2 linked regions of the Canis lupus familiaris genome follow. The main gene of each other region encodes a partner of the protein of the gene in region 2 in a complex. Links are inferred from orthologs where the notes say so. Each region holds a gene or a part of one and is shown on either strand. Other genes may lie near its edges.

Region 1 (5,747 bases), about 40 Mb from region 2:
AGTAGGTCCTCCACACATAGGACCTGCAAAATCCAGATGAGGATCTGGGTAAACCACAAGCAGGGTGATTGGGCAGCTGGGACGCAGCAGCTGTGTGTGAGATGGGCTCGGGATGCTCAGCTCTGGGGGGCCCAGGGCAGGCAGCCTCTTCTTGGCTTGTCCTGTACCCTGTACACACCAGGCCCGAGGTAGCTCGAAAGAGGCACCGCTCTGAAAGAGCCGTGTGGGGTGGCTGGGGGCCAAACACACCTTCCTAATGAAATAGGCTACAGCACGGAGACAGAGACGACCCATGCTGCAGGAGTGAGGAGACCACCCAGGGGAAGATGGGGTAGGGCCGCTGGCAGCTGCACCGTCTGTAACCAAGGAGACCACTTACGCTGGAAATGCTCCAAGGTGCCCCCATTTAAGAAGCCCAGTTGCCTGGGTGAGGTGATGTAGATGAAAGAGAACTGAGGCAGGACTCCCAGGCACCGTGGCACCCACCGCGCCGGGACGCTCAGGACAGGGAACTCCTCGGTGCTCTGTGGCACACATGCAACAGTGGCTCCACTTACCAGCTGATGTGCTGAATGCCCCCTTCACGCTCCTGCCTGAGCTGCACGTATCTCTGAATGGCCTTCTTCAGGTCCAGGACTGTGGCGTTCTGCACCACAACCACAGCTGCGGGAGAAGAGCCATGTTAGGATCCACAGCCACAGCCTAGGACGGCAGGAAAGGAACCAGAAGCTCTGTCCAGACTGTTTTGGACGGAGGCTCAAATTCAGGTGGGGTAGGCTTGTGGTTGCCCCGATGCCCTTCGACGTACATGGCTCTTGAGTTTCCCCTGAGCAGCCATGGCAGCGTCTTGTCTGCGTGACAGCTTGGACTGCAGGGTCCGCAGGGAGAGGGCGAGCACTTACGCATTATCTCTCCATCCATCTTGCACACGCGGACTGTCATCGCTTGGCCATATTCTAGTGCTATCTGGGAATTGACTTCTTCCAAAGTAACCTGCAGAAAGACCAATGGTGGAGGTGGGAGCCTTGGCTGCCTTTGCTATCCCAAACCACAAGACAAGACAAGCGGATAGCATCGGAAAAGCAGTGCCGTATCTTACGAAAGACGAGAGACAAGATTTCTTACTTCTATGCTAGGGTTTCCCGGTTGCACCTACATTTTAAAAGTGTTTAATGTGCAAAGTGCATTAAAGCTCAGGAAAAGAGGAGCGCTGAAACAGGAGAGGGTGAGCGCCAGATCTGGGCTCTGGGGCTGGGAAGGAGGAGGCGCGGTCAGTCCGGGATCCAGGGCGACACCGGGCGGGGGGGGGAGGGGAGGCCGGTGTGCGAGGGTGACCGGGGCGCCCAACCCAGGAGTGAACGTCCTCGGGCGGGGCGCGAATCTCGATGCGGAGTCCCGGGGTGGAGCCGTTCTCCCCACTTGAGCCTCAACTACGGAAACGACCTTAGAACCTGCACCTGCAGCGCAGCCGCGCCCGGGGCGCCCGGGGCGCCGTCGGGGTCCGCCTTGGGACCGGACGACCGTCCGCCTGTCCCTGTCCCCTGCTGCCCCCGCTCGTGCTCGGGTCAGTGAGGTCCTTAAAGGACACGGGAGAATCGAGGCCCGCCGCATCGTCACCTCTGGCGCCCACAGGGGGAGGTCAGGCACCGAGGTCCCGCCGCGCACCTGGATCGGGAGGTCGCAGAGCAGCGGGTCCTGCACCACCATGGCGAGCCCCTCCTGGAACACGTCCACCGCCTCGGAGTGCGGCAGCGCCTCCTCTTCATCCTCCTCGGCCTCGGGCGCCTCGGGCCGCGCCGCCGCCGCCTCCGCCTCGGCCTCGGCCTCCGCCGGCTCCAGGGCGCCCGCCCAGCCCCGCGCTCCGACCGCGCCGCCGCCGCTTCCGGCCGCGAGGGGCGGGGCTGCCACGGGGACCGATGGGAGGCTCGAGGCGGCCTGCCGCAGGGGCTGCTGGGAGCGCCAACCCGGCCCGGCCATTGGGGCGGCGGCGGCCCGGGCCAATGGGAGCTCGCGACGGGCCCGACGCCGGCGCCCCGCGGCCGCAGGGGCTGCCGGGAGCGCGCGGGGCAGCCATGCTGCTCTTCTGTCCGGGCTGCGGGAACGGGCTGATCGTGGAGGAGGGACAGCGCTGCCACCGCTTCGCCTGCAACACCTGCCCCTACGTGCACAACATCACGCGCAAGGTGATCACCCGCCGCCCCCCGCCCAGCAGCCGACGCCCGCCCCGCCGGGGTGCTCCAGCGGCCCCGCCCCCGCCCCCCGCCGTATCGGGAGCGGCCTGGCCTCACCCGGCTCCCGTGGCGGCGTCCCCGGCGGCGGCCCGGGCGGCCTCGTCGGAGCCGTGGCCGGATCAGGCCCGCCCTGTGCGCTGGCGCGGCTGACTGCGGGTCCGGGCCGACGCCGCCAGCCCCCGGGGAGCAGCCCGCGCCGCGCACCGACACGGCCGCCGGGCCTTTGCACGTGCTCCCGCTGCCCTCCCCGCCCCGCCCGCAGCCTCGCCGTGTTTGGGTCGTGCCGAGCAGCGTGGCTCTGGCGGACTCGGGTCACCTGCGGACACGCCTCTACGGGACTTGCGTGCCTGGGGTCGGTGCTGCGGCCCCAACCCGGGCCCTGGACGGAGCCGCGGCGCACCGCCCGCCCCGAGCTGCCCGCGGGAGTTGGGGCCGCCGCCGCGACGCCCGGGACGGAGCCGGGGGCCTGCGCGGAGGGCCCGGGCCGAGCGTGGACGGGGTGGGGTGGGGGGTCCCGGCTGCATCCGCCTCTTGGGCCGGCCCGACGCTGGAGCCCCTGGACCCGGGCCGAGCCCTGCGCCGCGGGTGTAGAGACGCGGCTGCCCAGGATCGTGCAGCCCGCGGGGAGGAGGGCAGTCGGCGGCCGGGTCAGCACCGCGCCCCTACCCGCGGCCTGAACACCTGCCGCCTTTCGCCAGGTCACCAACCGGAAGTACCCGAAGCTGAAAGAAGTGGACGATGTGCTCGGCGGCGCGGCGGCCTGGGAGAACGTGGACTCCACCGCAGGTGAGAGCTGAGGCCGCGCTGCCTTTGAGGAAGGAAGCTCCTAAAAATAGCGTGTGTATTTTCTTCTTTAGTGATTTATTTCTTACACAGGCAATATTGGCATAAACCCCAGAGACGTACAGGTGTGGGTTAGTCTCAAAGCCACAGCCTCTTAACATCGCATGACCTTGGTGGCCTCCCTCCGTTGTGAGAGCGTGAAGGGAGCCCCGCAGCACTTGGCCTCTAGCGTGGTCCTCAAGTGGCGGCTGTGCGGGGAGCAACCGATGGCAGTAATGAAAGTCGGAGCCTAAGGAAGAGTATATGGTCCATTTGTTCAGTTGTGGATCTTTTTTAAAATTAATTATCTCTAAAAAATATTTTATTTATGTATTCATGAGAGACGCAGAGACAGAGACACAGGCAGAGGGAGAAGCAGGCCCCATACAGGAGCCCGATGTGGGACTCGATCCTGGGACCCCCCGGGGTCACACCCTGAGCAGAAGGCAGATGCTCAACCACTGAGCCACCCAGGGATCCCTGGTGTAGATTTTTATTTTTAATTAATTAATTTATTCATTCATTCGTTTGTTTGTTTGTTTATTTATTTATTTATTTATTTATTTATTTTTCTTCCTGGTGTAGATTTTTAAAAGCTGATGGCAGAGAGCATTCACATGTTTATTTCAAGTCTTGTTTCCTGTCTGATAGAGGTAGATGTGACCAGGGAAGGAAAGAAGAGAGCCCTAAACACATCTGTGTTGAGCGGAGGAAGACCCAACTCCTGTTTAGTATTATCTTTTCTCCCCCATAGAAGAACATCTAAATCTGATATGGTAAAATTAGCATTGGCAGAATTTGCCAGGAAAGAAAAGAAGATGATTTTGGTACCTAATGTTCAAAGTGCTGTTTGTGAGTGTTTGAAGGCATTATCAAGCATAGGGTCAGTTTCCCGAACTGAAGTCACTTTGCCTTGAGGTATTTGGCAAAGGTGTGGGTTGTATGGTGAGGTCTTCATAAGAACGGCCTGAGGAACTGCTGCCGAGATGGATCCCTAAATTTAATGGGAAGTGGATTTGTCATCCCCTGGGGGCTCCTCCAGGAAGTTGAGAGGGCTTAGGTGATGGAGATGCACTTGGAAGAATCTGCCCAGAGTGGACCCCATCATGCACATGGTAGCCATAAGCCACATTTCATGTCACATTTCCAGCTAGTCTTCAACCAGATTTGAGAAGAAAAATGGGACTCAGGGAGGGGAGCAGGAGTGTTTTCCAGGGTCACAAGTCCCCTCAGTGTGAGAGTGTAGTGGGAATGATGCCACTAATTACAGCCTTTCAGTCATGGCGCAAGGTGCCCTAGGCAGGGGATGCCAGATGATTGGGGTCGGGGAGGGATTTGGTGTGTTAATACCTACCTACTTCTAGCAGGTGTGTTTGGTCATGAGCATAATGTGGGTCACTTGTTTTTCTCGTTGCCAGAGTCATGTCCTAAATGCGAACATCCTCGTGCCTATTTCATGCAGCTTCAGACTCGCTCTGCAGACGAGCCGATGACCACCTTCTACAAGTGCTGCAATGCTCAGTGTGGACACCGCTGGAGGGACTAGGGCCAGGATCCAGCTGTGTCATTGTCTGCCTACCTTGTTCCCTAGGGTGGATTCACAGCCAGGAGTGTGAACTGTTTGTCCTGAACTGTCTCTGCTGATGTGGCCAAAAGCTAACCCTTTCACGGGAGCTGGTCAGGGTACCAGCCCATCTGGCAGTCAGCGGATGAGCTCATTTATATCCAGGGGGATTGTGTGTGCAGGGAAGGGTATACATAAGTAAGTGTGTTCTTTTTAATATCCTGTTTGTGGATCTTGTAGGTATATTGGCTAATTGACATCTTTTCACCATTATCCTTCTTAAATATGCACTCTGATTGCACAACTAATAAAGTAAAATGTTATAATGTAGGACATTAGATGTATCTAAGTATTTAACTTAATTGTAAACTTATCACTATCTATTCTGAATATTTAATTAAAATGGAAAGTCTAATACTGCTTTTCTAGTGTTTATTTTTTTTTAATTTTTTGCCAAGAAGTATATTTTATTTTCGTTAATCATACAAATAATTTGCTATAATATCCCAGGGTAAACTGCAGAGTTTGGCAGTCTGACTGGGGCGGGGTGGGGGCTGGGGGGCGGCCCTCAGAGACCTGCAGGCTGGCAGCCTTCAGCGTGGAGTGCCTGGGTTCACAGCACAGCTTGTCACTCGTGGCCATCTCGCAGGTGGCTCTTCCTCTACATCACGACCCGGGTGTCTCGAAGATGTTGTGGGTGGGGAACCCTCTAGATGCTTAGGAAATTTTATTCCGTTTCTACTGCTCGATGGTCTCTGGTTGGCAGGGTGTTCTCCAGCGTCTCCATTTTCTTTAGCTTGGCCTTATCGAAGCTGGCGATTTCCCCCGTGTCCAGTTTGCTATTTCTTAAAGCGATCTGTGGAGTTCCACCCCGAGTCCAGTGCTGGGTCCTCCCACTCGTGTTGCTGCAGCAAGAGACCGCTTTCTCATTGTTTTGAGTGCTTTGAGAAGCAGACATCAAACAACTGCCATGCTTAGGGCTCTCCTGGTAACAGAATACTGATAACATGCTTTTCAATTTATCATTCTGTTCTTGTTTCCTAGGATTGCAATAAATTTATTAGGTAGACTATATTTATGCTTCCTTCATTTAAAAAAAAAAAAAACTTATTTATTTATTCATGAGAGAG
Region 2 (5,001 bases):
TTAGTGACACCCCTTCCTTACCGTCTGGTTTTGCCCCATGTTCTTCCTGTAAGTAACTTCTCCCAGATGACTGACCTGACTTCTGCCTATCTAGACTAAGGATGAGTATATAGTATTTTGTTCACCTACTTAGTAATGAATGTGTGATATACTATGGCTGTGAAGAGGGAAGGTTGCTCTGAAATTGTCTGTTGCCAGCTAAACAAATAGGACTTAGGACATTTCTCAGTTTTAGGTTGTAGTCCCTAAATTCCTGAACTTGTTTTTTTTGTGTGTTTTGTTTTGTTTTAAGATTTTACTTATTCATGAGAGACACAGAGAGGGGCAGAGACTTAGGCAGAGGGAGAAGCAGGCTCCATGCAGGGAGCCCAATGTAGGACTCAATTCTGGGACTCCAGGATCATGACCTGAGCCGAAGGCAGGCACTTAACCCCTGAGCCACCCAGATGTCCCTTGTTTACTGAATCTTGATACGGGAAGTATTTTACAGATATTTAATTTCAACAAAGGAATGGGAGCCCAGACTGATGAATATTTCCTTTATTTTGCAGGAAGGATGCCAATTCTGCGCTGCTCAGTAACTATGAGGTAAATAGCTTTGAAGTAAACTATTGGATTTTCCTCTCTGATAGTTTGCCCTTTGCTTCTGAAGATTATTGAATTAATTTTAGTTAAAATGACTGAATTCATTGGATTTTCCACTTTAAAATAGGACAGATGACACCATCTGGTGGACTTTGGAATTATAAGCTTGGTAAATTATACATAGTAATTCAGGAAAGCTGGGAAGACTTTAGTTTATAGTAGGCAATCTTCCCCAAATCCTAGATATTTTAGATCTTCATTTGATATTCCTTCATGGGATAGAAACATGTGTTTTGGAACTGTTTCTTTCTTTTTTTTAAATTTTTTTAAGATTTATTTATTTATTCATGAGAGAGAGACAGAGACACAGAGGGAGAAGCCGGCTCCTCGCAGGGAACTTGATATGGGACTCGATCCTGGGACGGGGATCACTCCCCGAGCCAAAGGCAGATGCTCAACCACTGAGCCAACCAGATGTCCCTCTTGTTTCTTATCTTATGGAAGAGCTTTCAGCTTTTCACTGTTCAGTATGATGTTAGCTGAGGACTTATCATATATGGCCTTTACACATTGAGGTATGTTCCCTCTAAACCCAGTTTGTTGAGAGTTTTTATCATAAATGGGTGTTGAATTTTGGAAAATTCTGTCTGCCTCTATTGAGATGATCATATTTTAGGAAGATTTACTTTCAAATACTCAATATATGGGAATGACTGGGTTGCTCAGTGGTTGAGCATCTGCCTTTGGCTCAGGGAGTGATCTTGGCATCCTGGGATCAAGTCCTGCATTGGGATCCCCATGGGGAGCCTGCTTCTCCCTCTGCCTATGTCTCTGTGTCTCTCATGAATAAATAAATAAAATCTTTAAAAAAAACCCTCAATATATGTTTGAGATCAGGGGAGATATATTGATAAGGAAACATTTGAAATATTTTCAGTAAACTAATGGATTTGGATTATCAACTTAGATAAAAAGAATTTTTAAAATGTCAGCTGCATCTCAGACTAATATTTGCTCTAATGCAAGAGTAAGGGAGAGGGTTTGTGAAAGAAAAGAGGTACTATACTAGTTATCCTTCAAAATCATTGACCTTGAAAAAGATTTATCAAATTTATTCATAAAAATATTTTATTACTTCCTTAGGTGTTCCAGTTACTGACTGATCTGAAAGAGCAAAGGAAAGAAAGTGGAAAGAACAAACACAGTTCTGGGCAACAGAACTTGAATACTATCACCTATGAAGTAAGCCTATGCTACTGGAGAGGCTACCCAACTACCACTGAGGTTGGCTTATTCTGCAGATGACTAGCCACCAAATCATGACTACCTCTTACTTGATTTGAGTGGTTTTACTGTAACCCAGTTTTTATTCTGTTTATACAAGTGGAGGGAGTTTATCCAATGGTGAGGGTTAGCTAATGTTAAAGTTAGAAGGAATAGTCAAAAGACTGCCCTGAATTCTAACACTTTCCCCTTCTCTTAGTTTTCCCTGATGTTACCGTCTCCCATAAACATGGCACAATTATCAAAACTAAGCAATTACAGAAAGAGTTTATTCAGATTTTCTCAGTTTCTATGCCCTTTTTCTGTTCAAGGGTACAGGGTGTTTTATTCAGTTACCATGGCTGGCTCCTTAATATCCTCTTATCTCTAGCAGGTCTTTAGGCTTTTCTCATCTTCCATGCATTACCTTGACACTTCTGAAGAGTAATAGTCAAGTATTTTGTAGAATGTCCCTCAGTTTTGGTTGTTTTGTTTTGTTTTGTTTTAATGTTTTCTCATGACCAGACTGAAGTTAGGCTTTTGGGAAGGAATGCTACAGAAAGGATGTATCCTTGTCATTGTGTAGTACAGGGTATATGATATCAGTGTCTTACTGATGCTGTTCACTCTGATTACTTGCTTAAGGTGGTATCTGGCCTCTCTGCTGTAAAGTTACTGGTTTTCCACTTCCACTTTGTATTAGTTAGAAAGGAATTGTCAAGTCCAGTCCATTCAAAGGACTCCTTCATCTCCTGAAGGAAGGATATCAAAAAATCTGAGGACTTTTTAAAAAAATTTTATTTATTCATGAGAGAGGCAGAGACAAAGGCAGAGGGAGAAGCAAGCTCCCTGGGATCCCTGGGTGGCGCCAGCGGTTTGGCGCCTGCCTTTGGCCCAGGGCGCGATCCTGGAGACCCGGGATCGAATCCCACGTCGGGCTCCCGGTGCATGGAGCCTGCTTCTCCCTCTGCCTGTGTCTCTGCCTCTCTCTCTCTCTCTCTCTCTCTCTCTCTCTGTGTGTGACTATCATAAATAATAAATAAAAAAATAAAAAATAAAAATAAAAAAAAAAGAAGCAAGCTCCCTGCAGGGAGCCTGATGTAGAACTCAATCCCAAGACCCCAGGATCACGACCTGTGCCAAAGGCAGACATTCAACCACACTGAGCCACCCGGGTACCCCTGAGGACATATATTAAAACCATCACCCAAGAATCAATCAATCAGTCCATCACAGTAATTAATAGATATTTTGGGGAAGATGCTTTGAGGCTATGCATAATATATTCTACTTAAAGCTTTTGCCCATTAATTTTAGTACTCATTAGTATGTCTTTCCTGCAGTAATTATTACTGTGGTTCAGTTGCCTAAGATTGATTGATTTCCCTCATTCCTTCCACATTCTTCTGTAAGAAAACACTTGATCCTTCTCATCCTTTTATTTATTTACTTATATCCATATGGACTTGTGACTATTCTTTGGGTTCCCTGTCTTTTAAAAAATTGTCTGAAATATAACACAATTGTCAGCTTGAGTGTTTTTTTTAAGATCAGAAAAGCTTGGGATCCCTGGGTGGCGCAGCGGTTTAGCGCCTGCCTTTGGCCCAGGGCGCGATCCTGGAGACCCGGGATCGGATCCCATGTCGGGCTCCCGGTGCATGGAGCCTGCTTCTCCCTCTGCCTATGTCTCTGCCTCTCTCTCTCTCTCTCTCTCTCTGTGTGTGTGTGTGTGTGTGTGTGTGTGTGAGACTATCATAAATAAATAAAAACTTTAAAAAAAAAGAAAAAAAGATCAGAAAAGCTTGCTTTTTTTTTTTTTTTTTTTAAGATTTTATTTATTATTCATGAGAGACAGAGAGAGAGAGGCAGGGATATAGGCAGAGGGAGAAACAGGCTCCATGCAGAGAGCCTGATGTGGGGCTCAGTTCCATGACCCTGAGATCATGGCCTGAGCTGGAATCAAGAGTCAGATGCTCAACTGACTGAGCCACCCAGACACCCCTTTATAGATTTTGAAATAAAATTTTAGAATACTAAAAAAAAAAAAAAAAAAAAAAAAAAAAATTTTAGAATACTAAGTTATAGCCATTGTCTTCCCTTTTTCTCATTCAAGTTTTGTTTATCTTATGCTTGTTTTTTCTTTTTTTTGGGGGGGGTAGACATTAAAATATATATCAAAAACACCATGCAGGCACCAGACTCCTGAGATTGTCAGAGAATTTCTCACAGCAATGAAAAGCCACAAGTTGACCAAGTAAGTAAAAATTATTTTTTTAATTTTTAATTTAAATTCAGTGTAGTTAATGTACAGTGTATTATTAGTTTCAGGGGCAGAATTCAGTGATTCATCAGTTGCATATAATACCCAGTGCTCATTACATCATGTGCTCTCCTTAATGCCCATCACCCAGTCACCCCATCTCCCTACCCACCTTCCCTCCAATCACTCTCCATTTGTTTTCTAGAGTTAAGAGTCTGTTACCATCTGCTTCCCCCTCTGTTTTTATCTTTATTTTTCCTTCCCTTGCCCTTATGTTCATCTGTTTTGTTTCTTAAATTCCACACAAGAGTGAAATCATATGATTTATGTCACTTAGCATTAGCATAATACCCTCTAGTTCCATCCATGTCGTTGCACATGGCAAGATTTCATTCCTTTTGATGGCTGTGTAATACTCCTGTATGTGTGTGTGTGTGTGTACACAGATCTTTATCCATTCATCTGTCAGTGGACATCTGGGCTCTTTCCATATTTTGGCTATCATGGACTGCTATAAACGGGGATGAATGTGCCCCTTTAAATCACTGTAGTAAAAATTATTTTTAGTCAGAAAAATATGTGACACATAATGAAAATGACACTATATGAAAACCATCCTCAGGAGTGCTATGTTTCTATTTAGTTGAATTTTGAATTATAATTGACACACAGTGCTCTTTTAAAGTAGGATCATGGTATCGTGGACAAGAGAACTGAGACTCAGACATGAGGATCCTCCTAGAGCCAGAAACAGAATTTAATGGGGTTTTTCTTTTTTTAAGATTTTATTTATTTATTCATGAGAGACACACACAGAGAGAGGCAGAGACATAGAGAGAGAAGCAGGCTCCTCGCAGAGAGCCCGATGTGGGACACGATCTCTGGACCCGGGA

What was found. The genes of interacting proteins can lie anywhere in the genome.
Region 1: CRCP (region 2) and POLR3K share a complex: the UniProt entries of both Homo sapiens proteins name them as parts of the RNA polymerase III complex. The link is inferred for Canis lupus familiaris from reciprocal best matches to the Homo sapiens genes CRCP and POLR3K.

What each region holds. Positions count from the first base shown.
Region 1 is NC_049227.1:40,885,690-40,891,436, forward strand, and holds POLR3K (DNA-directed RNA polymerase III subunit RPC10), read left to right. Parts: upstream 1-2,023; 5' UTR 2,024-2,072; coding exon 2,073-2,183; intron 2,184-2,929; coding exon 2,930-3,017; intron 3,018-4,471; coding exon 4,472-4,599; 3' UTR 4,600-5,037; downstream 5,038-5,747. Other genes in the region: SNRNP25 (U11/U12 small nuclear ribonucleoprotein 25 kDa protein), read right to left, coding at 1-23, 558-663, 903-993, 1,666-1,707. UniProt on the Homo sapiens protein: Core component of RNA polymerase III (Pol III) which synthesizes small non-coding RNAs using the four ribonucleoside triphosphates as substrates. Can mediate Pol I proofreading of the nascent RNA transcript.
Region 2 is NC_049227.1:729,735-734,735, forward strand, and holds part of CRCP (DNA-directed RNA polymerase III subunit RPC9), read left to right. Parts: intron 1-551; coding exon 552-588; intron 589-1,728; coding exon 1,729-1,869; intron 1,870-4,007; coding exon 4,008-4,102; intron 4,103-5,001. UniProt on the Homo sapiens protein: DNA-dependent RNA polymerase catalyzes the transcription of DNA into RNA using the four ribonucleoside triphosphates as substrates.